3 linked regions of the Caenorhabditis elegans genome follow. The protein of the gene in region 2 binds, or shares a complex with, the protein of the main gene of each other region. Each region holds a gene or a part of one and is shown on either strand. Other genes may lie near its edges.

Region 1 (9,325 bases), on a different chromosome or scaffold from region 2:
TTTCTTCGATCTTTTGTTGTGCTTCTTTCACATTTGAATAAATATTTACACATCGAAACAGAGTTTTTAGTTCTAAAACACCAGTGTTCAGACAAAGTACAAACCGCTTTAAACTTGTGTTTTAAAGATCACTATAACTTTTCAAAATCTCTTCAGAAAATAGTAACCTTTTGTTGGACAGCATTGTTGATTTTGACACTCGTAACCATGTGGGCAATTCGAACATCCAACAGTCTGACCAGAAGTGGCTCCAGCTGGGTATGCTCCAGATGGACATACAGCTGAAAAACTATTATACACCTTTGTCATCCATTGTTCAACTAACCGTAAGCTAAATCGTCAGAAGCAGTCGCGTTCCGGCAAGCTGATTCACAAGCCTCTTTCGATTGGAATCGATTGGAGTTGCCGTCGCATCCCTAAAATTGTTTTATTCATTTTAATTGAACGTTTTTCCAAGAAGTATACTATTCTGTTAAATTCAACGAGAAATTTCCGTTTGTGAGAAGATAAGGTATATTCCTAGCATCAGCTCAAGCACAAGCTAAGAATATACCGTAAGTATGGCCCTTAGCCTGGGCATAAGCCTAACCTTAGCCTATGACAAAACCTAAGCCTAACTAGGGAACCATCAGAAGGTGCCCATCAGACTTGCATATGAAACCTATGCCATTCGATAGCCCATGTCTTAAAACGGTTACTCGTGAATTTTTAGCTGCGAATCTCCAGAACCAAGGTCACTGCGAGCTCTCAAAGATTCTAAAATAGCACTATAACGAAGCACTGTAACGATGAAAAGAAGCAATTTTCCAAATTCACTTTGGTAGCCTATATCTCCGTGGATATATTTTTTACAGAAAAGTCATCAACTAAAAATTTTTTTGATAAAAACTTGTAGTTGAAAGTTTTTATCAAAAAAATTGTTGTTTCAGATTTAACTAAAAACTTGTTCTTTACAACAATATCAACAACTTTTTAGTTGATGACTTTTCTGTAAAAAATTTATCGGCGGAGATATGAGCTACCAAAGTGAATTTGGAAAATTGACCTTTCAAAGCTTCGTTACAGTGCTATTTTAAGATCTTTGAGAGCTCGCCGTGAGCTTGGTTCTGGAGATTCGCAGCTAAAAATTCACGAGTAACCGTTTTAAGACATGGGTTATCGAATGGCATAGGTCTCATATGCAAGTCCGATGGGCACCTTCTGACGGTTCCCTAGTAAGCCTCCTCCGAGACTAAAAATTTTGGAGTGACCTTCTATTAAGGTCCTCTTTCAATTATAATAGGTTTCATTCGGAAGTCCGAGGACGAGCTGAAAGGCTTCCCTTGTCAGCCTAACTCTAAACCAAAGCTTAAGCCTAAACCTAAACCTAATATAGGTAGTATGCTAAAGGACTACTGGAAAAAACAGTACCTGATAGAAAAATGGCTGACATGTGCGGGTATTCTTGTGGAAATAAAATGAGCGGGCTCCCTGCTGACCACATCCAGAATTTCCAGTATCGCGAGCGGAAAAACAATCTGTCTGCTGTTGAGCAAAGCAAAATGTTATGAAAATGGTGGAAATCGTAATTGCAGTTAGCATTGTCTGAAAAAATACAATTTTTTTTACCCGTTAATGATCAATGAGAGTGGAATAATATTACTAGCCAATGCCAATTAAAAGCAGAAACCAAAAAGAAAACTTCAATTCTCGAATGATCTTTTCCTATTTTATACTCAAATTCCTAGCAATATTTACTTAAGAATCTTCGTCCCACCTACATAACTAAGATTTGGCAAATATCAAAAGTTTGGTCAACAGGAAAATGTTCAAAATTGAGTTGGTGGTTAACAAATAACCTACACATTCTCCCGAAAAAGAATTCATTAAAGATCAATGGGCACGATTGAAAACATGGCAAAGTTTTATTGAAAAATGAAAAACAGGCAAATATTTGGCTGAAATCGCTCAGTTTTCAGAAAATATCCACACTTTGACTGAAAATGGTGTAGGAATTGATGTAATAACAAGAGACAACAATCGATGTGGTTCCGTTTTTACAAATCGAATTGTTGATAACAAAGAAAATAAGGGAGCGTTTTGAAAATGAAGGAACTGGTTTTTCGATTGTACGAGATACAATAGTTCTTGACACAGACACCTACAATTTGTTGATAACGAAGGATAGACGCATCGGGTTGATGATTAAACAAATTTGAAGGAAGTACACGAAATTTCAAAAATTTAAAGGTGGAGTAGCGTCAATGGGGATTTTGTCTAAATACGCTTATTATGATTTCAAACGACCGAATATCATAATAAAACTACAAAAATTTTTAGATTTTCCCTAATTTCGGTCAAAGTTTTGGCACATTACCAAAATTTTGACAAATATGAGCTTTTGAGGACATCCAAAGCAATGTCGCATATTCCGGTCTTTACAATGATTCAACAAAAATAATTGAAACAAAATTACAGTATAAAAAATGTAGGAAAAATAATTTTTTTTGGTCGACTTCCAAAATTATGAGTGGCAAAAACTGAATATTGAACACTTTTTGACAGTGAATAAAAATTTTTCAAAAAAGTTTTGAAAAGTTTTATTATGATTATTTGTCACTTTGGCACCATAGGAGTATTTTTTAACACTTACTCCATTGGCCCTACTCCACCTTTAATAATTTTCAGATTTCCTAATTTTCTAGATTGCATGCTAATTTTTACAATTACTAGTTCAATGTTTCTTAATCTGATTTCGGTTTAATGCAACTATTATCATACGCCAGGAAATCGAATGTACCGTACGTATAATCAATGTAACTGATGTGATTTTTCATAATTTTTTCCTAAAATTGTTTTTCAAAATTTTTTCAAAAATTGCTATGGAAAAAACTATTTTCAAAAGACCGACCTGTGGACCGACTGTACCGTATTTCCTCTATTAGTCTTGCACTCCTACAGACTAATTGAAAATCAGTCTTACAGCCTGTAATAGTCTAGCACCCCACTTTTTGTCATATTAGCAGAACTTTGTGGAAACGTAAGCAAATTTATCATTTTTGGAGTAAATCAAATGTAAAATCGTTCAAATAATTGATGTAATATTGGGAAAGTATGTATTTTTCATTGTTTGAACGGTCAAAATTGTATCACTTTCCAAAGTTCGAAAAATAGTTTTCAGTCTCTATTAGTCTTGCACCCCTAAAGACCAATTGAAAATTAGTCTCGCATGCAAGACTAATAGCGAAAATACGGTAAATGCAGAGTTGTTGTCTTTCTTAATTTATTTTTATTTTTATTTATTTGAATATTAGTTGTTATATGGACGTCCTTTTCTTTCTCAATACATATGCATATACAAATATTAACTTTCCGTTCTTCTTTCCTATTCCCATACATTTATATGTATCCCAAAGCCTTCTCTCTCCCCCACACACACCATTTATCTGCACCATCCTCTTTTCACCCAATCTCTCATTTGTCGTAAACTCTCCTTCCAACTCTACGTCTCTTATTGTTCCCAACACTCTCTCACTTTTTCAACACTGACGACGGCTGTTTTACACTATCTGCTGGCCTGGATGGGGACTTTTGTGTTGCTCTACGGAAAGAATCCTCCCACACAATATTTTTACTGCTATTTGAACATTGAATTATCGATTTTTCAAATTTAAATTTAAGTGCTTAAAGAGGAAATGTTCCAAAACAGAGTTTCATAATGAGACTTCAAAATTTTTTTAACTTATCAATATCTAATTGTACTTTATTTTTTATTATGAATCAACAAATATTTACCCCTTAATAATTTTAAACTTTTCAGCAATAACCATGTCAACACTTGGTCGTAGTAAGACCCCATCTCGTGACGAACCAAAAAAGCCTGGAGTCTTTGAGAAACTCTCTGGTACCCTTTCTCGAAAGAAGAAGGCGCCGGAAGATGAGCATGGAAACCAAGGGGGTGCACATCATGCTACTGATGAAGATGAAGTTTTGGAGGTTAGTTTTGCAAATTAATGGTTTTAGCAAATATAGATTTTTCAGCTTGAACTTGAAGGTCGTGAGGCTCTCGATCAGTCATTGGTCCCAGTTCTTGCAAGAAACATCTGGTTGGAAGAAGGTAAACGGTTTCACCAATATATTTATCCAATATATTTTTTTCCAGGAGAAATTCGTCGTTATCTGACTAAGGAAACAGCCCGCGATCAGAAGTTGGCACAAGTTGTCGATTTGCTGATCTACTGGCTTAATGAAGAGCTAGCTGATCAAAGAATTGTCGTTCGTCACTTGCAAGAAGATCTTTTCGATGGTCAAATCATCCAGAAGCTGTTGGAAAAGTTGGAGCAGATTCGAGTAAGTTATTGGTACAATTTCACAAATTGAATAAATTCTCCACTCACAGTTTTGTTACAGATCGAGGTTCCAGAAGTTTCGCAGTCAGAAGAAGGACAACGTCAAAAACTGCAAATTGTAGTTCAAACAGCCAATCGAATTCTCGGACAGCCAAGAGAACAAGAGAAATGGTCTGCGGATCTTATTCATCAAAAGGTACGCAAATCTTTGTCTGAATTGTTCATTTCTATCAGTCTTACATTTCATTGTGCAGATGTTTGACGCACTGTAGACAAAAGAGTTTCTCACTCGAAGCTGTTCCAAAAACTACCGTATATTCTATATTAGTATGATATGTTAATCTGTGGACACCTCCGCCACACAATACTATTCATCATTTACTATATATAAAGCGCTTATTCTGTGTGTCCATAGTTTGTAGTCTATGTAGTCTTTGTAGTCTGTGAAGTTTTGGCTTCTTGGGATAGTGAGTTGGGGTTAGTGTAGGGATATAGTCGAAGTACTGTATTGGCACAATAGTGGTACGGTAGGAATACTGTAGTTTCAGAAAAAATCAGTTTTCACCCCCAGGTCCACGGCTGGTAATCTATATAGAAATTCGTGAACTGCAATACTAATTTTCGAGGTGGTTTTTGGATGCAAAACTTATTGAGAATATACGATAGTTGAACGCAACAGTACTTTTCGAATAAACAGAGTTACTTTCCATATTTTATATTTTCTCATAAAAGAATATTCCCAGGACTTCACTGCCATCATCCAGCTCCTGGTGCTTCTTGCTCTTCACTACCGTGCTCCAGTTCGATTCCCAGATAACGTGGTTGCTAACGTTGTGGTGGCTCAAAAGGAACATGGTCAAGTGAAGACCCATCGAATTACTGAGCAAATCACTACAGTTCAAACTGAGTTGGCACCGAAGGGCACTCGTGACGCATTTGATACGCTTTTCGATTATGGACCCGATAAGTTGGCTCATGTGAAGACATCTTTGTTGGCTTTTTGTAATAAGCATTTGAATAAAATTAATCTGGAAGTAAGTTTATTCACTTCATTGTGCTACAAAGAAGCTGATATTTGTAAATTTTTAGGTGTCTGATTTGGATAATCAATTCCAGGACGGAGTTTTCTTAGTTCTCCTAGTGGGACTTCTTGAAGGTTATTTCGTCCCGCTTTACCATTTTAATCTCCAAGTTCAAAGCCACGAGGAGAAAGTAAAAAATGTGCAATTTGCGTTCAAACTTATGGAAGACACTGGCCTTGAGAAGCCTAGATCTCGTGTTCAGGATATTGCCAATGGAGATGTTAAGGTTTGTAGTTTTGACAATTTACAGAAAAATATACCATTTTCCTAATTTAATTCAATTTACAATCCTCAATTTTAAATAGTGCAAAATTTTAAGGGATTGAAATCAAAGTGTAATCGCGCTTCAGCCGGAAATGAAAATGTCCCGCCTCCTTTAATTGGGTCTCGTTAGGTATCGCCATTTGGTTGAAGCGCGATTACATTCGCAGTTGTCGAATTTTCTTTTCACGACGATTCAGCAATCCCGAAGAATTTTAAACAAGTGGCAAAAACAAATTTTCTGCTCATATCTGATGCGATGGATTTTCTATATACAATCCTAATTCATTCTTTATTGCAGAGCACTCTCCGTCTTCTCCATTTGCTTTTCACTAAGTACAAACATATCTAATCTGAGAACTTCATTCGTCATCCTAATCAAACGACACCGTCCAATAATTTGTGTCTGGCTCAACAACTATGGTGCTTTAATTTTGTTAAAATTGCATTTATGTCAATAAATCTTTTAATTTTTAGACTTAGCACTATATTAAATTAAAGAAATTGGCAAATTCCGAAAAAAAAACTCTATTTGAACTCCCTCGTAAAGGAGATTTGCAATGGGGCGCGTTTGCATTAATAAAATTTAATGCATTTTCTCATCGATTCTTTTATTCTTGTTTCTTTATTTTAATTAATATGAATTGATTGTATATAAAATTGTATTTATTTTACAGAAAATGCCTCTTCCACCAGCTCTTCTCGCTCGACTTCAAAAAAGGGGAATTGTAAAGCAAGAAGAAGAGGTTATCGCTGAAAACTATGAAAAAGAGCCAGAAAAGAAAAGTTTCGAAGAGAATTCGGCAGGAGCACCTGGTTGTCCAAATAAATGGAATCAATATCACGTTTGCCTCGAATTTTGCTATGATCATTGGGGCGATGGAACTCCGGAATATCGGTTTGTTTTGAATTTTAGCGAAAAATTAATTAAAAATCGTTTTTTTTTGCAGGTTGCCCGAGAGATATGTGCAGAACAAAAACAGAATGCTTGCAAAGTTTCCACTTCCCGAAAATTGGGTTGAAGTCTATGATGAGGGACTTGCGAAGTATTATTTCTGGAATAAAACAACAGATGAGGTGAGAAGCAGAATAATTTTCTGATTTTAATTGGTTTTTTTCAGGTTTGTTGGTACTCGCCTCGTCATCCACGAGCTATTATCAGTGATCCAGCTCCTCGAATCGCCAGAGAGCATGCTACAGTGCTTTTTGGAGATTCTCACGCATCTGAGGTAGAATTTGAAGCTGAAATCGTACTTAATGGGTATCGCCGCCGGAAAAAAGTAGCTTGTACTTTTATTTTTGCTATTTTCAACAGTTTGCTCAAGAAATTCTAGAAAAAAACTTTCATGGACAAAACGCGGCGAGACTCATTTATAAGGATCCGAGCGCCTTTAAATACGAATTTCCGAACATTTATTCTTTAAAACTATGTACTTTTTCCAGGAGGACAATGCCGCCCGCCGCAGAAATTTCCACAACAAGAAAACTTCACGCGGAGGGAATGATGATAAGCAATCACGTGGCAATAATGCTGAAAAGCGGAAGCGACGTGATCCGATGACGTCACAGGGTCCAGATTCAGATGAAGACGAGTTACAGGAAATGACAAATAAGGATAGACTGAAAAGAGCAAAAAGGAAAGGAATTGATCCAATGGATCCAGCAGCTTATGGAGATGCTCCAGTGTAAGCTTTTTTTTCTAAAATTCTGTTTCTGAAGCGAAAAAATTAGAATTTTCAAGAAATTGGATTCAAAAATTCAAAAATTTCGAGAAACATAAATAAAATCTCAAATTTAAAATCTCCAACTTCTCCGTTTTTCAGCGGTCTAATTTTAGCTAAATTTATAGTTTTTCTTCAGAAAATTATAATTTTCCATTTGAAATTTGGGGAATACGGTAGCTTCAAAAGTACGCAACCCGAAAATACAACGTTTCCGGCGAAATGTCGATATGAAAAAATTATGAAAAATAATATTTGAGCGAAAAAATTTGATTTTTATATGATATTTCAGTGGAAAATGGTCGGATGGTCTTCGAGTTGATCAGGTGACTGGAGCCGACGTGACTGCTGGTGGACCACTTTTCCAACAAAGACCCTATCCTGCTCCGGGAGCAATTCTCAGAAAGCAGAAACCACAGGATGAAGAGGACGATCAATAATTCAATTTTATTGTTTTAATTTTTGATTATTTTAATTCAAAATTCCTACTCCACTTCCTTCCAAAAGTTCTGTCATTTCCTACTATTTATTTGTTCTGTTTTGTACCGTTGTACCTGTATCTTTTTCTTTTTCTATGCACATAAATGTGCTCAGACATCTGAATTTTTCTCTGTGCTTCTCCAAAACATTTCCATAAATTCATCAACTGTTTCTATGCATTAAATAAAACGTACAATAGAAAAAAAGCAGCAATGGAGAGATAAACTGAGAAGATGGTAGTAATTGAAATATTACAGGAACACTAAATGCTGAGAATGCGTATCGCACAACATATTTGACGCGCAAAAGATCTCATAGCGAAAACTACAGTAGTTCTTTAAAAGATATACTGTAGCGTTTGTGTCGATTTTTGAAATGATTTAATTTTTCTTAATTCTAATATTCTATCGATAAAAAATTATTAAAATTCATTTCGAAAAGCGATCCCGTAAATCGACACAAGCGCTACAGTATATCTTTAAAGAACTACTGTAGTTTTCACGAGATATTTTGCGCGTCAAATATATATATGTTTTTCGATACGCATTCTCAGAATATTGTTTTGAGCTGGAAATATTCTTGAATGTGCCTGATATTGATAGGCTTGTAAGTGCTAACACTCTTCTTTATAACCACAAAAAAGCATTTGAGAAAAAACGACAAAACTTATTACTTGGCCTAATAAAATAGTTAATCGTAAATTAGAATTACATTCTACTGATTCTATGTTGTTATTTTCGTTGATCTTTCACTTTTATGTCTCTCTCAATGTGGAATCCTAGTTTCTTGTGTGTTACCTTCTTCCCCTTATCAATCACCTAAATCGGAGAAAGAGGTCAGCGCCCTCATTTTTTTCATCCGTTTTTCGATTTTCTCCATTTCATTTGATCAGTTTGTTGAGTACACTCCCTAAAGTTTTCCTTATATTTCTTGTTTTCAATACTTATTATTGCAGAATGGAACCGTCCAACATATGGCGGACGTCTACCATCGTTGGTAGTGTTGTTTCAACATTTGCAGTTCTTACAGTAATCATTGGACTTCCACTGATGCATAATCATGTTCAGAAAGTAACAACTCTGATGTTAACAGAGGTAGAGTTGTGTAAGGTGAGAATATTGATGCTTTGCCAGGAATAAGCCTAGATATTAAGACCGAGTCTCAAGACATCTGGAAACAAATGAAATTCTCTCGCATGGCACCAAACCGTACCAAACGTCAGTCTCCATACGGTAACTATGGAGCTTCAGGGTCAGGATCCTGCTGTGCTTGTACTCAAGGATCACCTGGACCACGTGGACAGCCAGGAGACGACGGAGAACCTGGACGTGACGGTTTCCCGGGCAGAGAAGGTGACAATGGTATAGCTGGAAAGTATCTACCAGCTCCACCACCAGGAACCAACGCATGTCAGAAATGTCCAACTGGAGCTCCAGGACCACCAGGACTTCCA
Region 2 (8,858 bases):
AGTTTCCTTGAAACCGATCCTAACATGCAAACACAGATGCAAAATATGGCGGGGTATGAATGGTTTGATAGGGCGATGATGGGATCGATGGGTAAATTACATGGCGACGATTCGGCTTCGAGCAGTTTGCTCCTAAACTATAATCTTCCACGATCTGCAAGCGGATACTTTGAACCGCCGCCAGAAGCATCCCACATGAATTTCTCTTATGAGGAGGCGATACTCAATCGTCAAGCTCAAGCTTTACACCAACAGCAACTTTTGCAACAACTTCAGAAGCTTCCACAACAACATCCACAGAAAGAAGTTGCTGGAGAACACAAGCTGAGCCCTCCGACTGGTGGTGTTCTGCGTCAAACTGCAACGCAGAGAAGTATATATGAAAATGTAACAACGGGTGATGCACCTTCGCAACCACAATCATTAATCATTCCTCAATCCCCGTCCGCAAAAAATAAAATGGCTCGAACTGAGTTCTTCACGCAGACTCCATCAAATGTGGTTTCCAAAACTATAATGGCTGCATCCAGTGATGGACAGAGTATTCAAAGCCTAGGAAGTACCGATTCAAATGCGACAGTAAGAGTTGAAGATGAGATGCGGAAAAAGTTCGTTGCAAGATTTGGAGTACGGAAGGCGCCAATAGCACGAGAAGAAGATCCAGCAGATCCGAAGCATGGAAAAGTGATGGGAAGTCAAGAAAGCATGAACTCTACAGATTCGAGGGAGTCCGTCGTTTCGGCGGCTTCAATTAAAGCGGAAGCATTGGCTCGCCGAAATTTCAACTACTAGTTATACTTGCATCTTCTTCTCCGCTTTCCGCTTCTTTCTGCACATCACAGTGAGTTTGAGCACATTTTTTTCAAAAAAAGGAACTTATTTGGAAAATTTCTCCAGTCAGTTTAAAATACTAAATTTAGTTTCAAAAATAAGTTCCTATTGTTATTACGTTATTCAATTCAATTACGTTTCCAATTGTAAATTTTTCAGCACTTCTGATCCGATAGGCAAGCCGATCAAGGAACGGTATAACTTTAACGAAATGGACCGTAATCTTTCCGCACTGGTCAAACCACTTTGGGCAGGAAATGAAAAAGAAGATCGTGCTGAAAAAGACGATAGTACATCATCTTGATCTGCTCCGGCTCCCCTCCCTGTCTGTGTGATTCTTTTTGTTTCTTTCAATTTTATCCTATTATTCCAATTCAACGCTGATGCATTACTATTGTTGTCATATTTCATTTCTGTCATTTTTTAATCAAATGTGCTGAACATTAAAAATTATCTGATCTCTTGAATCCCTTGTCTTGTTTTATGAATAAAAGTAATATATCAAAAAAAAAAGTCGAATGGAACTGCTGAAAGTGCTCCTTTTAGTGCGCATGATATTTTTCACACATATTTTTTTTGAAACGGTTTTGATCCGTGTCCAGTATCCATATTTGATTTTTTTAAAAGAAATTTTAAAAAGTTTGTGTAGACAATTCAATGTTTAGTTTTCCCTTTCAAGCTAGTTTTCACTAACAGGAAGATGCTATAAAACTATGAAACGAAAAACTTCAAGAAAAGGAAATTGAAAAATTGTGATCTACACAAATATTTTTCTAACATTTTCAAATGTGGATGATGAACACCAGACATTCGTGGCAACTGTAGACCAACTATTTTATAAAATGAGCCAGTTTGGCATGTGCTCACAAACTTTTTTATGGAAATTCAGAATATGGAAAACTACTTACTTTCTCTGAAAATAAGATTTTTTTAGTTGGGAAAATAGGACATTTTTGAAAGATTTTTCATTTGATGTTTTAACTTTCGGATTAATTGTGAGCACTTTTTAAATTGTTCCAACTGAAATTAAAAATATTTTTAGACAAGCTAAAGATTTTTCGATATCACTGAGTTTCAATTAAAAAATTTTGAGAACATGCCACACTGGTTCATTTTGTAGAAACTCACTTTGAAACTTATAGATTTGTGTAATAAAATACTCAGTTTAGAATTTATACACTGCTCCGAAAAAAGTCGGTCCAAAAACCTCTGTTATCGGTTTACGATCTTCTAGAAAAAGCGGTGGTATTTCTCAACACTGCGCACAGCTGTTTGGCAGGTGGAGGCATTTCTACTGGCAGAGGACCTCATTCTATAATGTCATCATTTCAAAGTTAGTCATTGTTTTCAAGCTACAATTTCTGGATTTTTGTCATCCTGATATATGATACTAGCTCATGATCAAGGCCAGTCGTAAGAATATAAAAACACAAACGAAGGTCAGATACTGAACATTTATCTGCCAACATTTGCGGGGTTCGTACTTTTCAACCATGTCTTTTGATTTCTCATATCTAAACTGATGATCCTTTCTTATTCTCACAACTGTCTATAAACATGTGTTAGAAAAAGCTTGTTCCTGCCTGTTCCGAGTATCAACGAGCAGCAATACTTGGCTATTAATGTGACCCTACGCACGCAACCCGATTGTATGCGTCTCTTCGAATCGCGCACTCTTCCCGGAGTCGTTACGTCTGCGGCCGTAGTCTGTGACCCCCCGCTTGGCTGTCGGCCAACCCGCCGCGCGCGCATTGCCTCTCGCTTTCTTCCACTCTTTTTAGTTGTACATTCTGCGCACTTTCTTTTTGCCCAGTAAATGCCCATATCACTGTGTGAGGAAAGTTGATTTTCAACAACTATTATCATTTTTAAGGTGTTGTTTATAACTATTACTATGTTTAAATATAATTCAAAACTTTATAGTTTAGCCGTATAGAAGTTGTATTGAATTTTTGGTTTCATTTTTACAACTAGTTTTATTTTTAAATGCAAACACCACAAAAGAAGCATTGTTGCTTTCCTCCGTTGCATCTCAAAACATCTGGTGTAATACATGTATCACATTTTGAAGCGTGAAATGTGCCGCTTCACTGAATTTTGTTATGTAGAGTAGTACATAGAAAGTCAAAAAAAAATCGAAATAACTAGTTCGAATTTTTTCCCATTTAAACACACGATATCCCAACCGATGTTTCTGAAGAATCTTTTTTCTGTTCCCAATCAATACTGATCATCAACACATCGGATACACGTCTCCCTCTGTGAGTTAGTCAGGGAAGCTGAGGCATCCTGTTGAATCTGTTGTGCAGCAGCACTCACACACATACTTTTGTTGTTCACTTATATCTCTATCTCTTGGTTCGTTTTCATTCTTTACACAAAATGCAATGGCAAAAGCTTCCACGCCACCGCCTCCGAGTTCTTCTTACACATATGTCAACCCGTCGCATCCTATACCTTTGGCACATTTGCCTCTTCCTTGAGGATTTCTTCTTTTCTACTGTTTCACAGCCCCCTCGTATAATACCTCCAGTGTTTTTACGATTCTTAGAATATGGAAATTTCTGTGTTTATGCAAAAATTTACTTTGCATATAACAAAATGTAGATATGAAATTCTGACTTTTTGTGCTCTTTTCGATTAACCAACATACCTAACCTATACACACTATATGCTTTCTCCGGCTTTCCCTTGTTTGTACATATTTGTCTTCATATTACTCGCTCGCTTTCTTTTCTTCTTTCCTACCCCCACCTTTTTCCTTACAAACCCATGGTCGTTAAACCATCCTGTGTGCATAGTGGCCAACTTTCAGTGGTTCAATAATAGATGGTGTGTGGCGGAATGGATTCCGACCACAACCATATCAACGGGGATCTCGCCCATGGCTTCGAGAACATGGTGTGCGTCCGTTGTAATGATGGTTTTTCGATGCAAGATCAGATGGTGAACTCTTCCGGGCAAGTATGGCATTCGGAGTGTTTTGTGTAAGTTTTTATAAGTTAGAATTAAGAGAACTCAAAAATTGCAAAAAAATTTTTAGATGTGCTCAATGCTTTGAGCCATTCCCAGACGGCATCTACTTTGAGTATGAAGGACGAAAGTACTGCGAGCATGACTTCCATGTTCTGTTCTCACCATGTTGTGGAAAATGCAGTAAGTATCTTTGAGAAGACACGCAGAGCCATAAATGTTTTATATTCTAGACGAGTTCATCGTTGGACGAGTGATTAAAGCAATGAATGCCAGCTGGCATCCGGGATGTTTCTGTTGTGAGATTTGCAATAAACAGTTGGCCGATGTCGGATTTTTACGGAACGCTGGACGGTAAGTTGGAGAGCGTAAACGAAGCTCGAAAGAATTTCAATTTTCAGAGCTCTCTGTCGCGAATGTAACGAACGGGAAAAGGCAGCAGGTCATGGACGATATGTGTGCCACAAATGCCACGCAATGATTGATGATGGACAACACATCAAATTCCGTGGAGATTCATTCCATCCTTATCACTTTAAGTGCAAACGTTGCAAGTAAGAATTTATCTTGTTTTACAGTATGAGTTGAATTTAAAAAATTTTCAGCAATGAATTAACGACAGCTTCTCGTGAAGTAAACGGAGAGCTCTACTGTCTCAGATGCCACGATACCATGGGTATCCCAATTTGTGGAGCATGTCACAGGCCGATTGAAGAGCGTGTCATCGCGGCACTCGGCAAGCACTGGCACGTGGAGCACTTTGTCTGTTCCGTCTGTGAGAAGCCATTCTTGGGACATCGTCACTACGAGAGAAAGGGACTTCCATATTGCGAACAGCACTTCCACAAGGTACTTGAAATATGAACAAGCAAACATTAATAAGTTTGTTGCAGTTATTCGGAAATCTTTGTTTCAAATGCGGAGATCCATGTTGCGGGGAAGTATTCCAAGCTCTTCAGAAAACGTGGTGTGTCAAATGTTTCTCCTGCAGTTTTTGTGATAAGAAACTTGATCAGAAGTGAGTGCAAAACTATTCATATGAACTTGATGAAAACAAATTAATGTATGCATTGCAGAACGAAATTCTATGAATTCGATATGAAACCAACATGCAAACGATGTTACGATCGGTTCCCCACAGAATTGAAAAAGCGCATCTCAGAAAGCTTAAAGGACCGCGACGTTGAAAATCAAAGAAGATCGATGAGTCCTGGACCAAAATAATAAAAAAGAAAGAAATAAAGGAGTCCCCGTAATTCATCAATTTCCATTAAAGAAGTAATACTTTCCAAATGCCATTGCTCATTTCTCTTTCCCATTGTTTTTAATACCTTGGTGCTAAAAAAAAACATCGTGAAAATTGTTATCAATCCGTTTTGTCTTTTAAATGCCTTATATTTCAAAACTATTTTTCGGTCACACAAAAATGTCATTGTACTCATTTCTAGCTCCATAATTGTCCTTCCCCTTCCCTTTCCCAGCTACTTTTTGATTCAGAAGCCTTCTGAAAACAATCATAACTTTCGACCAAATTTTTTGTGTTCCTATCCGCAAAAACTTTGCATCTTTTCTCGGGTGTCATTATTGCATAACTTGATTTCTGAATTTTTGTACTATTTTTTTGTTCAGAAAAAAAATATTGACTGTATTGAAACAAAATCGTATTGTAATATTGAATCCTTTTTTTCGGCATCAACAATCAATTTGTAATCAGTGATCAACAGGAAGGTGAGTCCATAGCGCCCGGAGAGATATTTTTGGTTCAACTTGAAACGTGTTAAGTGAGAATTATACTTTCCAGTGTCAAAATGTTTGTGAAATTTCTAAAAATACGAATGAGCCAGTAGAAATGATCGTATTGCACTTGAAATTCTCTTGGGAATTTATTTGTTGAAGCTTCAAAATGTGAAAGAAAAATTGGGCTATTCCAACAAAAAACGACTTTCATCGTTTTTTTGCTCAGCAAACTCTGTTTGATCATTTTACATAAAGATGAAATAGAGTCGATGATTTTTTTTTAAATTCAAAATGACAAAAAAAATTCAGTTTCCAAGAAGTTAATTTCGTTAAAAAATAAATTTTCAATTATCGATTATTTGAAGAATTTCCAACAAAATTCTTCTTTTTTATCAATTTTTTTTTTGGTTTTTTTTTGTGGAAAAGTCTAAAATTTTGTAAGATTCTGTTATTACTCAAAAATCACAAAAAAGGACAAAAAACTGACACAACTGTAAAAAACAAACATATCAAAATTAGGTAATTTAGTTACGCGGGTATGGGAAAATAATTCAATACTTTCTATTTTTTTTTGTTGCAAAATTTAACAATTAATTAAAAAATTCAGAAAAATTCAATGATTTTTTAAACTGTTGTGCTTATTATAGTGCAACTTTTTTCCAGTCATTGAGACCAAAGAATCCATAGATGTTATTCCATCTTTTTCCAAATTTTATTTATTGACAAATATCTAATTAGTTTAAAAATCTAAAATCAAACCTCAATTTACGGTAACTTTATTGAAAACTTGAAGCATGAGCAAGTTTAACAAAAATTTCAAATATTGACCCAATAATTACACATATTATGACCCATATGATTAACAAGTTGATCAATTGATAAAACTGATAAATAATGATCTATGTATTCTAAGGCACAATCTTTTCTGGCGGCATACTTTTCTCGCAATCAAAAAACATTTTATGATTTTTAATTAATTCGTGAGCAGAATCCAGCGCATCTTGAATGGAGGGATACATTTGATTTCTTCCAATATTCCCTTCTCCAATCAGGCCAGCATTTCCATATTGTCGTCGGAGTGATGCTGAAATATCCCAGCTAAGGTTATAATTGTTTAAAAATTTTAAACTCACACTTCAGATTTGCAAACAACAGGAGTATACGAATTTGTCGTAATTCTTCATTAATTTGCTTCACCGCAGCAATCCCCATAGAATCCGTATAAATCCAAGTGTGGCAGTCAAGAATGATTGCACTCCACTCAATATCCTCTTGGGAATCGCAACTCGCGCTTCTCTTTTTTGTGGTGGCTGATGTCGAATCGCGAACGTTATCGAGAAACTTCTCAACGTTTGCGAAAATCAGTGGTGCATCAAATCTAATGATTCGGAACGATGTTTCCTTGAAAAATAAGTTTTTGGAAAAAAGTTGTCAGAGGGAAATTAAATTTACCTTTGCCAAGCTATAGTGATTCATTGGTCTAAAATCATTTGGTCGGATTTGCCCAAGAAGTTTAATCGTAGGTCTGAAAAATGTCGAAAAGCTATGTCAATTTTGCGTGTTAAATCTACAAACTCACTGCTGAGATTGTATTGCAATTGTAAAAATTGCCGTGAAAATTCCAGCAGCTACCCCTTGCGCAATATCGGAACTTAGAGTCACAACAGCAGTAATGATCCAAATCCACTGAAATTATTTTGGTTTAAAAATTATTTTGGGTTATTTTAAGTGATTAAAAACCTACGAAGTCATGTTTGGAACACCTCCAAAGTCCTGGTAGTACTGTGCACTTTCTCAACATAGATTCTAGGACAACAATTACAATTGCTGACAGAATACAACTTGGAAGTGATGCTAGATAAGGACCGATTGTTGTAATCACAAGTGCCATGAAGCAAGCACTCGTTATTCCAGATAGTTGGGTTTTAGCTCCACTTCTTTCGTTAACAAGGGTTCTCGAAAATGAGGCTGATGTTGGAAACACCGAGAAAAACGAAGATCCAATATTGATAAAGCCGAGGGCTAGAAGTTCCTGATTGGAATCGATTCGATATCTGTGCTTTGTGGCAAACTCCTGTCCCATTGCCATTGTGACAGCATATGCGACAACAGCTGGAAAAGAGAATGAGGCTGTAACTGATAAATGGCAAGTTTTTAACCAGCTTCGATTTTTCGCACCATAATACAACTTATAGGTTCGGTTTTACGGTGACTTGCTTGGATTTTTTTTTCTGAATTTTTTAGTCAATTATTATTCAATTAGAAATGAGACCCGCCGCATGTCAACTGTTGTAAGTTTTTCCGAAATAGCATCATGTATTTTTGGTACTAACAAGAATTAAAAAAAAATTATCGACAAGCTTTTGTTATTTGAAAATATTCTGCTAACTATCATGGTATTTGAGCTATACGTGTCTGAAGAACTCAAGCAAATTTGTGCACAATAGACAACAAACAGAATATTGGCTGGCACTGTACATATTGGGCTATATTGAACAATTTGATGTAAAATCCCTACTAGTGGCCTTCATCACCTTCAAAGAGAACCTACCAATTGAAAGTGCGTCCTGAAAAATGTACGGCCAGATGTCGATACGGGGAACATCCGGATACGGAAATCCACGGGGAACTGTGTGTAACGTTTTCACACCAAACCTGTGTTCAAAATCAAAGAAATATGAAGCCGAAGTGGCAATGACTATCTGCAAGGTTGAACTATTGAATTCGAAAAATCAAATATAGTATTTAACTAACCGTGATTAGCTCTTTCGGAAATGGTATACTTTGCAATTTTTTGTGATTTTTGAAAAATGGCTCAATGAAAATCCGGGATCCAATTAAGAAAACGAGCGCAGAAGCAGATATGCAGAGTGTAGCAGTGTTCGATTTATGACAGTTTTCGAAAATGTCCAAAATTGACTGAAATCCACAGTTTAAGTATTAAGTCATACTTGGGCAAAACTCATACATGAACAAGACTGAACCAATGTTCGTTTCTTGATGGTACAGAAAAACCACATAATTTCGGAATTTGTGATACTACTCCAAAGAAGCACGCGGAGAATGTTATCCTAAAAAACTTTAGTTAAAAGAATTGATTTTTGAAAGAAAAAACAACGCTGATATTGCAGGAGCACCAAGAAACTTCATGGGTTTGTCACATCGAAATATTGCCATCACAGCCTGAAATTCGTGTTTTCTAAGATTAAGTTAACGGTGCTCTAAATAAATACCTGAATTATTCCAGTTAGAATACACAAGCTTGTCACTATTTCAATTGCTTGAACACTGGTGAATTCTGAGCCCAAAAATTATAT
Region 3 (12,856 bases), on a different chromosome or scaffold from region 2:
AGCATAATAATTCAGTTCGAGTGTCGCAAGCCTAAATAGACGCAGAAGAGTTGGACAACTTTTAGGCCTATTCTGAGCCCAATAATTCATGTTGAGGGCCGCAGGCCCGAATACACATAGAAGCGTTGGACAACTGTTAAGCCTATTTTAAGAACAAAAATTTGAAAAGTGGAAATTGTTATTTCTAAAATTAATGTTAAACTAAATTTGGCCGGTCTTGGCAAACTTCAGCACATTTACTTGGCATTTACTCAACACTTGACTAAACTTTAATAAAGCGAATTATTCTTGAGTTACTCTACGCCGAACCAAACTGCGAAGCCTAGCAAATCTCCGATTTGCTAGTCTGACAGCCTTTCTTAAAATTAGACTAACTTATTGGCAATTAGTCATTGACACTAAATAAGAGGCAAGACAAATAAAACGGCCCCATATTTATACAAAGTTTGCTCTCTTTTTTCTTTTTCTCGTTTTGACACCTAAGTAGTTCCCACAGTTCTCACATAGGGCAGGAGCGGGGAGTAAACATTATTCTTTATTCCTGGACACCCCCCACTCACTACTTGAACACACTTTCTTATTTTCTTTTTTCGCATTCTCCCTCCTGAATGGGCGAAAAATATATCTGGGTGTTGGTCAAATGGTTATTAGTGACACTTTTTATGACTCACAGACTTTTATTTTGAATTCTACCATTTCGGTAACTGATAGGTTCTGATTAGTCATTGGGAAATGTTTGGAAACATGCGTAGTTTTTAAATGTGTTAACTAAAATATTTGACAAATTATATGAGGTGCCTACAAAAGTTATATCATTCAGCAGATCAAATGTTCCAAATTCTTCCATAATCAGTACAAAATACCCGAATATTCAGTTCATCTCTCATGGGGCATCATCTCAATTTTTTAGTCAAGAAAAAAGGAACCCCTCTCTTTCTTTTCTCAACGTTTTTTGATTCAAAGTGTTACATCCATCTTCTTTCAAAACTAAAGCAATCGTCGACATAGTGTACACTACTTCGGGTCTTTCACCACAATCCATAGTTTTGATTTAACATTGCAGAAGTTTAGGAAAACATTTTTTGGCTGTGTTTTTGCAAACAATCGAGTTGCTGAAGGAACTGTAGATTTATCGAATTATTTAGTTTTGCAAAGTGAATGGTATTTGTTTTTAAAAAATTATTTGTTTTTCGAAAACCTAGTAGCATACCATGCCAACTTCCTCCTTTTTCATGTCAACGAGATCTGATAGTGAGTAGCACTTTATAAAGCTTACTGTTAAGCTTTTGCAACGTTCTATCTAGCTTTGAGAACTTTTTGACAGTTTTTCTCAACTTTCTGTCGAACATTGTTGCTCTTTAATTCCGAATGTTTTATTATTAGTTACTTTCTCTACAACAACTCTTAACCCTGTTTCTAAGTTCCGCATTGTCAAAATTGTACAATTTCTTGTTCAAAAGGTGTTTCGAAATCGAAAACGTCGGGAAAACACACAGGGGTCCCTTTTCTCATATACTTTCCCCGGTTGATCCAACGTCTCTACGATCTAAGAAGAGAAAAAAAGAAAGAGAGATGGTAAGAGGGAACGTAGGCGTCTGGTGTTAGAGCATCGCGGTCATCCAAGTGATCTGCCGAGTCGAAGAGCCCTCGGGAAGAGAGCCCAATAAACAGTGTGTAGCAATGCGAGAGAGTATGAGCAGGCAGAATATCAACGATGTAAAGAAGGCAACTGCTTCTTCTTCTGCTGCTCCTGCCATCTCGCATCCTCCCCCGTGTGCCGTCGTCCCGTAGAGCACTTTATCCAGTCTCTCAACTTTCCGTTTTCTCTTCTTTTTATGATTTTTGATATTGATCTCATTGAATTTTTCTACAATTTTGCATATCGAGTTGTGAAATCTCAAAAAGTGGGAACTCATTATTTAAAAAAAAAACACAATAGCTACAGTAACCGTAGCTTCGTAGATTTTTTTCTCAGGGGATTAAAGCTTTTTAAAAAATTATTTAGGAGAATCTTTTTAGAGGACTGTACAATCGAACAGTTCTCAACATAAATCGACAACATAATTTGCTCAGTTCTGAGTGAAGAAATCATACGTAAAACTTGAAGTTTTAAGGTTCTTCGTAGGCCCTTATTTACGTCTATTATTCAAACCCTTCTTGACATTTTTTTCCAATAATAATAGGCTATCCCGCTGTTTTCTGAATTAAAAAGTATCAAGTAATCATCAAATGTTTTTCAAAAATCAAATAAAATATTGTGTAAAAACCAAGCTCTTATCTGATTTCAGACAAAAATTTGGCATTTCTATACTAAATTATAAATCCATCTAAAAAATTCCAACACCCAGCTTCTTCAGTAATTTTCCTGCAAAGAGTATATTGTTCATTTTCGACACTCTGAATATTCTCTGTCTCACCGAATGTCTCACATTCTTCTTTCAACAAAAAAAATTGTTCTCGCTCGAATGCATCATTGAGAATTCACTACCAACGGCGAGACCCCTATTCTTTCTTCAAAAAGTGTGCTCCATGAGCACCTGCACCACCTGCTCTTGGGATTCTTTGATTTATTATTCCTGGATTTGGAAATGAAATTTCTGGAAATTGTTTTATTGACTAAGATCGTATAATTCGCACAATTAAGTACTTTATTATAATAGTAAAATGCTTGGTTTTAACATTGATACCTTTGTGCGTCGCCGATTTGAATTCTATAAATGTTCGACTTTCCTATGATTGCAATTCTTGACAATCAAAAAGAATGATCGGTAATAAATATTTAATTGTTTTAGGTTGTAATGAAACGGTAATGTTCACCATGTATTAGTTGAAAAGCTATTATGAAGATTATTAATCTTTATAGAAGGGATTATGATTTTTTTGTTGCTTAGTTAGTCAACGTTACTTTTCACAAATGACCCATCAATTTAAGATTCTTTTTTCAAAACCTACCTCCTAATTTAACTTCCCTTAAATCTTGTCGACATCTTTTTTTTCCAAAAATTCATTTTCCTCCTAACCACCCAATTAATTCATCCTCCCCCCGTTCCCTCAATTTATCACTTGTTCCTCTCTATTCAAAACATGACCTTTTTGTCGGAGAGGGAACAGTCACCAGTCAACCATATCTTGGATTCTACTGACAATTACTTCATGCCCACATCCCAATACTCTCTATTACATGAACTTTTCACCAATATATAAAATGTTGTTCGTATACTGATGGGCTTCAAGTAGGCGTGATTTTTAAAACACATACTACAAATATTGGAGAAAGTGCCGTATTTGTTCTATTAGTATTGGTGCAATACGTTTTTGACCACAATATTTATGTACTTGAATTAACTAGATTTCACTGTGAAAACTGAAACTTTAAAAACTTTAAAATCTGTGGCAACTTATTGTCGAATTTTGGCAGGAAGTTTCCCTGATATTCCAAGTAGGTTCAAAAATTGAATTCAATTATCAAATTTTGGTCTGGTCAGATTGAACGTCTACTATTATAATAATTTTGCAAGTTTTTCAAAATATTAGAAAATCTCTTTGGTGTTTCAAAAATAGTAACTGCATATCTACTTGATTCCAAACTAATTGCTTCTCGTGTCCCCAAATAAGTGGTGCCTCTTCCTCCGCCCCCTTCCATCCTCCCAATTTCATCCTCAATTCATGCTTCCATCAATGTCTACGTCTCTTCGTCTCTCACACTCTCTCACCATTAGACATATGTTTGATAACTATCCGGAAACTGAAGAAACTATGTGTCCCTTCCTCCCTTCTCTATTTCAAACGACTCTTGACTCATCGTATTTTTCGGAAATTCATGGGATAACTATGAGTCTCCAGATGCCAGTTTTGTTTCGGAATTTCCTTTTTGTACGTTTTTCACAAACTTCGAATTTCTGATTTTTAACTCGTAGTCCAGCCAATATTCTGAATATTTTGAGGGTTCTCCGGTAATTTTAAAGATTTTCGAATGAGTACAACTCAAAAGCTAGAGGTTCCAGCAAACAACTTTCAACAGTCAAAACATTTTGAAATAGTTCAATTGAGCATTTGAGAAAATATTGTTGTTGGCTCTCGCTCAATACACAACAAATATTGAGATTTATGCAAAATTCGAATTGCTCCTTACTTTGCTTCTTCATCAATCTTGCTCCACGTGTCACGGGTCATTTTGTTCCCCCGTTAATTTCCGTTCGCTCACTTCTCCTGTTCGTTCAATTCATTTCTTGATATGTTCATGACTCAATGTGAGTGTGTCAAATGCTCGTAGAGCTCCCTTCTCAATTATAAATGACTTGTCGTCTTCGGAGGGTCAGTTCTTTGTTTCGCAATCGCGTGTGCTCTGTTCAATTCCATTTTTCCTTCCTTCCGGTTTTTGGAAAAGACACCGATTAGGCTTCATTGATCCACATGTTAACTGAGAATTTGAAATTATCTCAGTGAAATTGGTCGCTACTTTGAATTTAATTCATTTAGACATGAAAAACGTTCCAAAATTAAAATTCAAGCAAAGTTCTTTATTTTCCCTTTCAAAAATATTTCTTGGAACTTTTGAATTTGAGATTTTGAAATTTTTTTTCTATTCAATCAACTTCTAAAATCGTTTCATCTTCCGTATACTCGTTGCAAACTTCTTTCTGATTGTTTTCAAAAAACCGAATTCCAAATTTCCAGTAGATGCGAGAGGGTAGTTTTCCGCGAAGGATCGGCTTGCTTCTAGGCTTACTGGGCCTTTTAGCCGGAGTTGCCACCTTCAACATCGACACAAAAAATGTAGTGGTTCATCACATGGCTGGTAACTACTTTGGATACTCACTCGATTTTTACCATGAGCAGAAGGGAATGCCTGTGTAAGTTATTGAATTAACTGAACAGATTTTACATTCAAAAATTTCAGCCTCGTTGTCGGTGCCCCTGAAGCTGAAAGCAATAACCCAAACCTGGCTGGAATCCGAAGACCTGGAGCAGTTTATGCTTGCTCCGTGAACCGGGCAACATGCCGAGAAGTCCACGTGGATAAAATGAAGGGAAACTTGAAGAAACTCAATGGATCACATCTTGTTCCAATTGAAGAAAAATCACATCAATTCTTTGGTGCAACTGTTCGATCAAATGATAAGCATGATAAAATTGTGGTAGGTTTATTCTGCGGAGTTTGAAAATTAAAAATTAAATTTCCAGGTGTGTGCTCCAAAATACACATATTTCTACTCAAAATTCGAAGTTATTGAGCCAGTTGGAACCTGTTTCTATGCTGAAAATGGATTTGATAATGCGGAGGAGTTTTCATCGTGCAAACAAGAACGTATGTTTTGGGGATACTTAATTGGTACTGCAGGGGTACTGTAGTTTTGGAAAAAGGAGTTCGAGAAAAGAAAGTTCTGGGAAGTTCTAGAAACTTCTGAAAATTTTGAGGAATTGCAGGAATATTTTAATAGTTTGAAAAGTTTCTGCAACCCTCAAGACACTGTTAAAAACGTCTTAAAATTTTGAGATTTTTTTGGAAAATTCTAGAAACTTCTAGAGGCTCCTGAAAAAAATCTGAAAATTGTTGAACCTTTTGGAATAGTTCAGAGTTCGAACAATTGGTAACTTTATAAAAAATTAGATGAAAAATTACAGCTGCTCGCCACGGTCGTCATCGTCTTGGATACGGTCAGTGCGGATTCTCGGCTGCAGTTCCAGGAAAGAAGAATCAAAATCGTGTTTTTATTGGAGCCCCCGGTGTGTGGTATTGGCAAGGAGCAATGTTCTCACAGAACATCAAAAATCAGACAGACCGCCCGAATACCGAGTACGGTAGCAAGGAATACGATCACGATATGATGGGATATTCTACAGCAACTGGAGATTTTGATGGAGATGGTATTGATGATATTGTTGCCGGAGTTCCACGTGGAAACGATTTGCACGGAAAATTGGTGTTATACACGTCGAAACTGAAGATGATGATCAATTTGACTGATGAGGTGTCAACTCAACATGGACAATATTGTGGAGGATCTGTTGCAGTTGCTGATGTAAATAAAGATGGGTAAGTGAGATTCACAAACACATAAAATTACAATTCTCTAAATATTCTCTGTATTAATTTCAGACGCGACGACATTATCATGGGCTGCCCATTCTACACAGATTACGGTAGCGTGAAAGACGCAAAAACACAAGAAAGAAAACCACAATACGATGTCGGAAAGGTCATTGTGATGCTTCAAACTGCTCCAGGAGTCTTTGGAAAACAGATTGCAGTTGTTGGAGATGATCAGTGGGGACGATTTGGACACGCAGTCGCAGCAGCTGGAGACTTGAATTTGGATGGTTATAATGGTAGGGATTTTGCTACTAAAAATGAACGAATTTGAATTTCTCACAGAAATTATTTTACGCGGAAATTCAAATTTAGTTTTCGTATTTTCACTTTTCTTTTTCTTAATTTAACAATTTCTTTAGACATAAAAAATCCTAGATTATCGGAAATTTGTGCGGCATTTTGAACTTTCAATCTCATTTGAACCGCTATGGAAATTTATTGCATTTTTTGTTGGAAATTTTAAATTACAAAATAGTGTTTTTCAGATGTAATTGTTGGTGCACCATATGCTGGAAAAAACAAACAAGGAGCTGTTTATGTGATCCACGGATCCAAAGATGGTGTTCGCGAACTACCAACTCAGAAGATCGAAGGAGCCAATATTGGTCATGGAAATATCAAATCATTTGGCTTCTCCCTTACTGGAAACGAAGATGTTGATGGAAATGGAATGCCAGACATTGCAGTTGGAGCATGGAAATCTGGAAATGCAGCTGTTTTACTCACAAAACCAGTTGTCACTGTCACGGGACAAACTGAACCAGAGAGTGCATTGATCAGTGTAGAAGATAAGAATTGCGATGTTGATGGAAAATTGGGAAAACAGGCATGCAAACATATTAATACATGTTTCAAATATGAAGGAAAAGGAGATACACCAAATGATTTGGAATTTGATCTTCGATTCAATCTTGATGATCATTCTCCTGAACCAAGAGCTTATTTCTTGCAAAAAGATGTGGTAGGTCACTTTTTTAAAACTAGATAAAAATTTTTAACACAATAATAATATTTCAGAAATCTGACAGAAGCATTAAAGTTGCACAAGGATCTAAAACAAGAGACCATCCATCTTCAATCGAACAACGTGTTCGTCTTGAGAAGGGACGACAAAAGTGTTTCAGACATCGATTCTTTGCTTCTTCCACAATGAAGTGAGTTTTCAGAGAAAATATTTTGATTTTCTTTCAAAGTTTTTCAACTCAAAATGACCACAACTTTTTAAATTTTTTTATCAGAAAAAATTGAGAAAATGTTTGCTCTGCTGTGAAAAAAAGTTCAAGGCTAATTTTTGAATGTAAAATAGTTCGTATGCTTTGCAAACCTTCAAATTAGAAAATAAAATGTTTTCTAAAAATCAAAAATAAAATAATTTCAGAGACAAGCTCTCCCCAATTCATTGGTCCGTCAACTACACATATGTTGAATCAAAAACCGGAAAACTTCGTGGTGATAAGCTTGAACCAGCAATTGACACAACTGTACCACTTTCATTCCAAAATAAGATTAATATTGCAAATAATTGTGGAAAAGATGATCTTTGTGTTCCTGATTTGAAGGTTACCGCTGTTGCGTAAGTTTTTTTAATTTTCAAAATGATCGATAAAAAGTGTTGAAAAAATACATTAAATATGCCATTTTTTCATTGAATATAAAAGAAAGGGAAACATTGAAAATCCTCATTACAGTAAGTTTGAAAAATTATTGAAAAAATGGGTTTGTCTCGAAATGTTTTAATCATTACTCTAATTTTAAAATTTTCAAAAAAATATAAGGAAATGAGCGAGAAAAATTGAATATAACACAAAATACAATGTAACCTAACTCGACAATTTTCAAAACATTTTTTATAATGAGACAAGTTCACAGCCATTTTTAAAATGTTTGCTTCAGGATTTTCCTGTCAAAATAATTCCACGAAGATTGTATGTTTCTTTTCTTCACGGAATCGGCGAAATTTTCAGTGAAATCATATCATTAAAATAATTATTCCTAAACCTATAAACCAAATGCCAGCAATTAAATTCTTTTAAACATATTTTTTCAGTGATCGTGAGAAATTCCTTTTGGGAACTCAAGACAATACAATGCTTATCAATGTAACAGTTCAAAATGGAGGAGAAGATTCATATGAGACAAAACTTTATTTCGATGTTCCACAAGGATTCGAATACGGTGGAATTGAAAGTGTTGGTGGAGATGGAAGCAAGTCTGCTCCAGCTTGTTCTCCAACTTCCGATGAACCAGATTCGGATGGAAAATGGACTTTTGCATGTGATCTCGGCAATCCACTTCCAGCTAACAAAGTAGTTAGTAGTGTTGTAAGAGTGACTGCTTCTTCTGATAAACCTCCACTTGCTCCAATCAGTATTAATGCTCATGTGAACAGTAGTAATGATGAAGAAGCTCATACTGTTGCTGATAATAAAGTCACATTCACTATTCCAGTTGATTTTAAGAATCAATTGAGTTTGAATGGTAGATCAAATCCCGAACAAGTCGATTTCTCAATGACGAACAAAACACGTGTAGATGCTTTCGATGACAATGAAATTGGTCCAGTTGTTTCACATCTTTATCAAATCAGTAATCGTGGTCCATCTGAGGTTGACTCAGCTACTTTGGATATCTTCTGGCCATCATTTTCCACTGAAGGAGGTCATCTTCTGTACATTATCACAGAACCAGTTGTTAATCCACCAAATAAAGGAAGATGTCGGGTCAAACAACTGCAAAATGTTAATCCATTGAATTTGAGGGTACGTTTGAATAATTTTTAAATTTCTAGACATTACTTTAAAGGTACACGCTGTTTTTCTGAGTGGGTCTTGCCACGATCTCATAGTCGTTGCAAATCCCCAATTTCTGTAGACACTGAATTTTATAACTCTGTACATTTAAAATTGCAGTGAAATACGGAAGGAACTATTTTGTTTTAGAAATAGAAGTAAGAAACTTTATCATTTTTAGGATAAAATTCAAATTTCTTGGGAAATTTTGAAGAATTGTTTTCGTCAGTTTCTGAAATGTTTAGAATCGGCGAGTTAAAAAAAAATATTGGAAACAATCGAATATGCTGAAATATCACAAAAAAAATTGATTTTCCGGTTCGGGCTGACAAACTTCACTTTTTTCAATTCAGAATCCTGAACATCTTATTTTATAAATGTTCACAAAAAATTACTGTCGCACATTAAAAACGAATTAAAATTTCAGATAACAAATGAGCATGTTCCAACTGAACCACCAGTTGCCAAGACACCAAATGAATATTCAAGAGAAGAAGATGATGAATCATATGAAGATGAAACAACAACTCAATCCCAATCAACACGTCATCAATCTACACAACATCAAACTCATCATCAATCTGGTCCAGTACATGTATACGAAAAAGACGAGGAGAAGATTCGTCAGAATACTGGAAATTGGCAATATGTTGAGGATAAAAAGAAGAAGGGAGATTATGAATATATTCCAGACGATCAGGAATATGATGGAGATGATTTTGAAGAGGAAGATGATGAAGATTTTGATAGAGCTGGAAGTAAGAGAGTTAAAAGAAATCCAACACCAAAGAAGAAGAAGAAGGGAGGAGAACACCGTGGTGAACCAAGAAGTGATAAGGCTAGATTCTCTGATCTTCGTGAAGCTGTTAAACTTTCGAAGGAAGCTGGAGGAGTTGTTGATTATAAGGGACCACTATCAAGAGCATCTGTTGATTGTAATTCATTGAGATGTACACATATTGAATGTGATATTTATGATCTTAAAGAAGACGAGTTTGTACTTGTGGAAATCTTCTCTAGATTATACACAAACACATTGGTTGATGAGAAAAATCCTGGAGGAGACATTTCATCGTTGGCTCTTGCTCGTGTCACATCTACTAAATACAATCTTCCACATAAGCCAACATTGATAACAGCAGTATCTACAAATATGAATGCAATTGCTTCTGAAGAAGGAAGAGATCTTCCTTGGTGGCTTTATCTTTTGGCTATTCTTATTGGACTTGCCATTTTGATTCTTCTTATTTTACTGCTCTGGAGGGTGAGTTTCAAATTTAATTTTCAAAAATACGATTTATTACATAACAACATAGATATTGGCTTGCAAGTTAAATTAAAGTTCTTTCGCCAACTTTCATGCTTACTTGTGACGCAGCAAAAATTATATCTTAATTTCCAATTTTGTGAAGCGGTTTCTCAAAGCCTCATTGATTTATTCGGATGGGCCTCGCCGCGAGAAAAGTTTATGGTTCAAACTCTGCCATTTTCGAAAGGTAAAAAATGATTGTCACAAAGATTAAGAAAAACTGAATTTAAAAGAAGTTGCCTACGACATTAAAGCTGTGCTCACACGCTTTCGAAAATTTCACAGCAACGTCCACGGCGAGCTTACGTCGGGGGTACTGTAGAATATAGGTAGATCAGAGCGACTACAGTATACAACCAATTTCGAAACAAATTTACAGTTTCCCTCAGAAAATAAATAATAATAATCTAATTTTCAGTGTGGTTTCTTCAAACGTAATCGTCCACCAACTGAGCATGCAGAACTCCGTGCCGACCGTCAACCAAATGCTCAATACGCTGATAGTCAATCCCGTTATACATCACAAGATCAGTACAATCAGGGACGTCACGGACAAATGCTATAATATTTTCCATTTTTTGTTCCTTATTCTTTACTATTCACATCTGCGGGTGTCTTTTTAAAATTATCATTTTGGTCCCAATTTAGTCCTCTTGTCGTGCCTTGCCCCCCAATCTTACTTTCATGTTCGATCGTTTTTCGGAATCTCCGCTCAATTTGGTGCTTTATATGTTCATATTATGTTTCTTTGTTTTCCAATTAATTACCAATACATTGACATGTTTCTAGTCGATATTTTTGATGTTTTTTCTTTTATTATCATCAATTTATTAATAAAAATTTAATAAATAAATAAATATTTAAAACGCGTCTAAAACAATAAATTTTGGAATTTCATCAAACCCGACCAACAAAAAAACGGAATAAATATTATGACAAAACTAGGTATCATTGGTTTTCTTTTTTCGAATCATCTCAGCCAATTGCTTGAATCTGACCATCACTTGTTTCTTCGTTTTGCTTCCAATTTCTTCGGAGATTCTTTCCCACCTGAAATTTAATATTTAAAACATTCCTCTGGATATTATATTATGGGGACCCAGAAATTTTACCGTCAATACCTAACGAAACCCAACGCTTGGAGGATGAGCGTTCTCAATTTCAAAATACCCATTTCTAGTTTCCAAGCTAACCTTTCATCAGTTCCCTTTGGATATTTCTGCAATGCGGTTTCAAAAGCCTTCTGCTCAGCTTGACTCCAATCATCTTCTGATTTCTCTTCAACTGGTACTGATTGTTGAATAGTTGTCATCAACAATTTCGTATAATCCTCTTGCTTCATCTGTTTCATTTTTCCAGCCATTGCAATAACGTCTTCTGCACTTCTATTCAAAACTCGACCCATTTGTTCCCAACGATTCGGTGTTCCAGCCGGGTATTTTTCAGTGCTCAGTCGAACCAGACTAGCTAATTCATCAGGCGTCCATGTTGCTCCAGATTGTTCTGAAATTAAAAGATCATTGAGTAGAGTTCAGAAACCTTTTTTCTGATAAATTAACTTACTCTGTGCTACAACTTCATTTTCTGCTGCATACTTTTTCTCCATCTCAGGATCATTTGTGGAAACTGCTTTCATACCTTGAGCCACTTCAAATTTAAACTCTAGTTGCTGGGGTGCCGCTGCTGCTCTTTGTTGCCTTCTCTGTTGAGCCAACTCCTCTTCTGTTGGTTCTTCAGGTTCAACTTCTTTAGGTGTCATAGCATCTTTAGCAGTCAATGCCAAGTTTTTGAAGAGGGTTACTGTACCTCTAGCAAGAATAATTGGAAGAAGTTCTGAATATTTTGGAAGATACTCTTCAAGTGCTTGTTTCATCAATTTTTCTGCTTCCGCTGGATCTTCTTTTTTCGATTTTCGCGATTTTTTCACATTTTGTTTGTAGACAAGAGTTTTCTCGAAATATGCCGCCCACATCATCAGGTAATGAGCGATAGTTCCGATAAAAAGAAGCACAAGGATTCCTTCATACCATGCAAGTTTTCGCATTCGTCTGGAAAAAATTATTTATAAAACACTATTTTAAAAAAATCCGAATTATTTCAGTTAACCATGTGATATGGAATATGGTGGAATGGGAAGGAAAATATTTTGGTATTTCTGCCAATTTTTAAGACTAACACATTGCATTTTATTTCTGAATTTGATCAGATTTAAGATTGTCACGCAACTTTTATTGGGCAAACCTAGTTACTTTTTTTTTGAAACCATCGCAAAACGTATAATAGCAATGGGGATTTTTTTAAACTATTTATATGATTAATTGGAAAACTCATTCAAATTTTAAGAATATATTTACAGTCAAAAAGCATAATTTTTTAAGAAAAACAATAACAATCTTATGTAGTTTTCTCGTATTTTTCTGTACATTTTTTTTCCAATTTTCAAAAATAAAAACCACTATGTGAATTCCCTCACCTATAGTAATACATAGGATGCCTCCACGAAGGTAACCCATTTTCCAGAACATTATCATATTTTTCACGAAGTTCTGTAGTCTTCAAAACTTCATAGATTCCAGCAACTTGACGAAACTTTTCCGTAGCATCAGGCGCAGAATTCCTATCCGGATGCCATTCAAGTGTCAATTTTCGATATGCTTTCTTTAC

What was found.
Region 1: unc-97 (region 2) and pat-6 share a complex: the UniProt entries of both Caenorhabditis elegans proteins name them as parts of the integrin containing attachment complex.
Region 3: unc-97 (region 2) and pat-2 share a complex: the UniProt entries of both Caenorhabditis elegans proteins name them as parts of the integrin containing attachment complex.

The regions. Positions count from the first base shown.
Region 1 is NC_003282.8:258,707-268,031, reverse strand, and holds pat-6 (Paralyzed arrest at two-fold protein 6), read left to right. Parts: upstream 1-3,799; 5' UTR 3,800-3,807; coding exon 3,808-3,975; intron 3,976-4,020; coding exon 4,021-4,096; intron 4,097-4,141; coding exon 4,142-4,329; intron 4,330-4,389; coding exon 4,390-4,524; intron 4,525-5,071; coding exon 5,072-5,362; intron 5,363-5,417; coding exon 5,418-5,636; intron 5,637-5,972; coding exon 5,973-6,023; 3' UTR 6,024-6,146; downstream 6,147-9,325. Other genes in the region: T21D12.12 (BPTI/Kunitz inhibitor domain-containing protein), read right to left, coding at 168-281, 326-416, 1,411-1,581; pqbp-1.1 (WW domain-containing protein), read left to right, coding at 6,352-6,569, 6,622-6,748, 6,793-6,900, 7,115-7,356, 7,685-7,832; dpy-9 (Nematode cuticle collagen N-terminal domain-containing protein), read left to right, coding at 8,829-8,981, 9,026-9,325. UniProt on the Caenorhabditis elegans protein: Involved in the regulation of cell adhesion and cytoskeleton organization. Component of an integrin containing attachment complex, which is required for muscle development and maintenance.
Region 2 is NC_003284.9:5,589,487-5,598,344, forward strand, and holds unc-97 (LIM domain-containing protein unc-97), read left to right. Parts: upstream 1-3,646; 5' UTR 3,647-3,675; coding exon 3,676-3,818; intron 3,819-3,874; coding exon 3,875-3,987; intron 3,988-4,037; coding exon 4,038-4,158; intron 4,159-4,205; coding exon 4,206-4,358; intron 4,359-4,409; coding exon 4,410-4,653; intron 4,654-4,697; coding exon 4,698-4,822; intron 4,823-4,880; coding exon 4,881-5,028; 3' UTR 5,029-5,479; downstream 5,480-8,858. Other genes in the region: mec-2 (Band 7 domain-containing protein), read left to right, coding at 1-792; sulp-2 (STAS domain-containing protein), read right to left, coding at 6,450-6,625, 6,675-6,942, 6,994-7,066, 7,121-7,227, 7,286-7,653, 8,093-8,243, 8,296-8,460, 8,510-8,612 and 2 more. UniProt on the Caenorhabditis elegans protein: Component of an integrin containing attachment complex, which is required for muscle development and maintenance. Probably function in adherens junction.
Region 3 is NC_003281.10:8,814,222-8,827,077, forward strand, and holds pat-2 (Integrin alpha pat-2), read left to right. Parts: upstream 1-4,677; 5' UTR 4,678-4,680; coding exon 4,681-4,853; intron 4,854-4,900; coding exon 4,901-5,138; intron 5,139-5,184; coding exon 5,185-5,308; intron 5,309-5,625; coding exon 5,626-6,037; intron 6,038-6,100; coding exon 6,101-6,330; intron 6,331-6,579; coding exon 6,580-7,055; intron 7,056-7,111; coding exon 7,112-7,248; intron 7,249-7,340; exon of another isoform or gene 7,341-7,432; intron 7,433-7,472; coding exon 7,473-7,667; intron 7,668-8,141; coding exon 8,142-8,853; intron 8,854-9,310; coding exon 9,311-10,147; intron 10,148-10,610; coding exon 10,611-10,757; 3' UTR 10,758-11,053; downstream 11,054-12,856. Other genes in the region: F54F2.9 (DnaJ homolog subfamily C member 1), read right to left, coding at 11,134-11,242, 11,386-11,695, 11,756-12,240, 12,666-12,856. UniProt on the Caenorhabditis elegans protein: Required for muscle development probably through the regulation of the actin-myosin cytoskeleton. Component of an integrin containing attachment complex, which is required for muscle maintenance.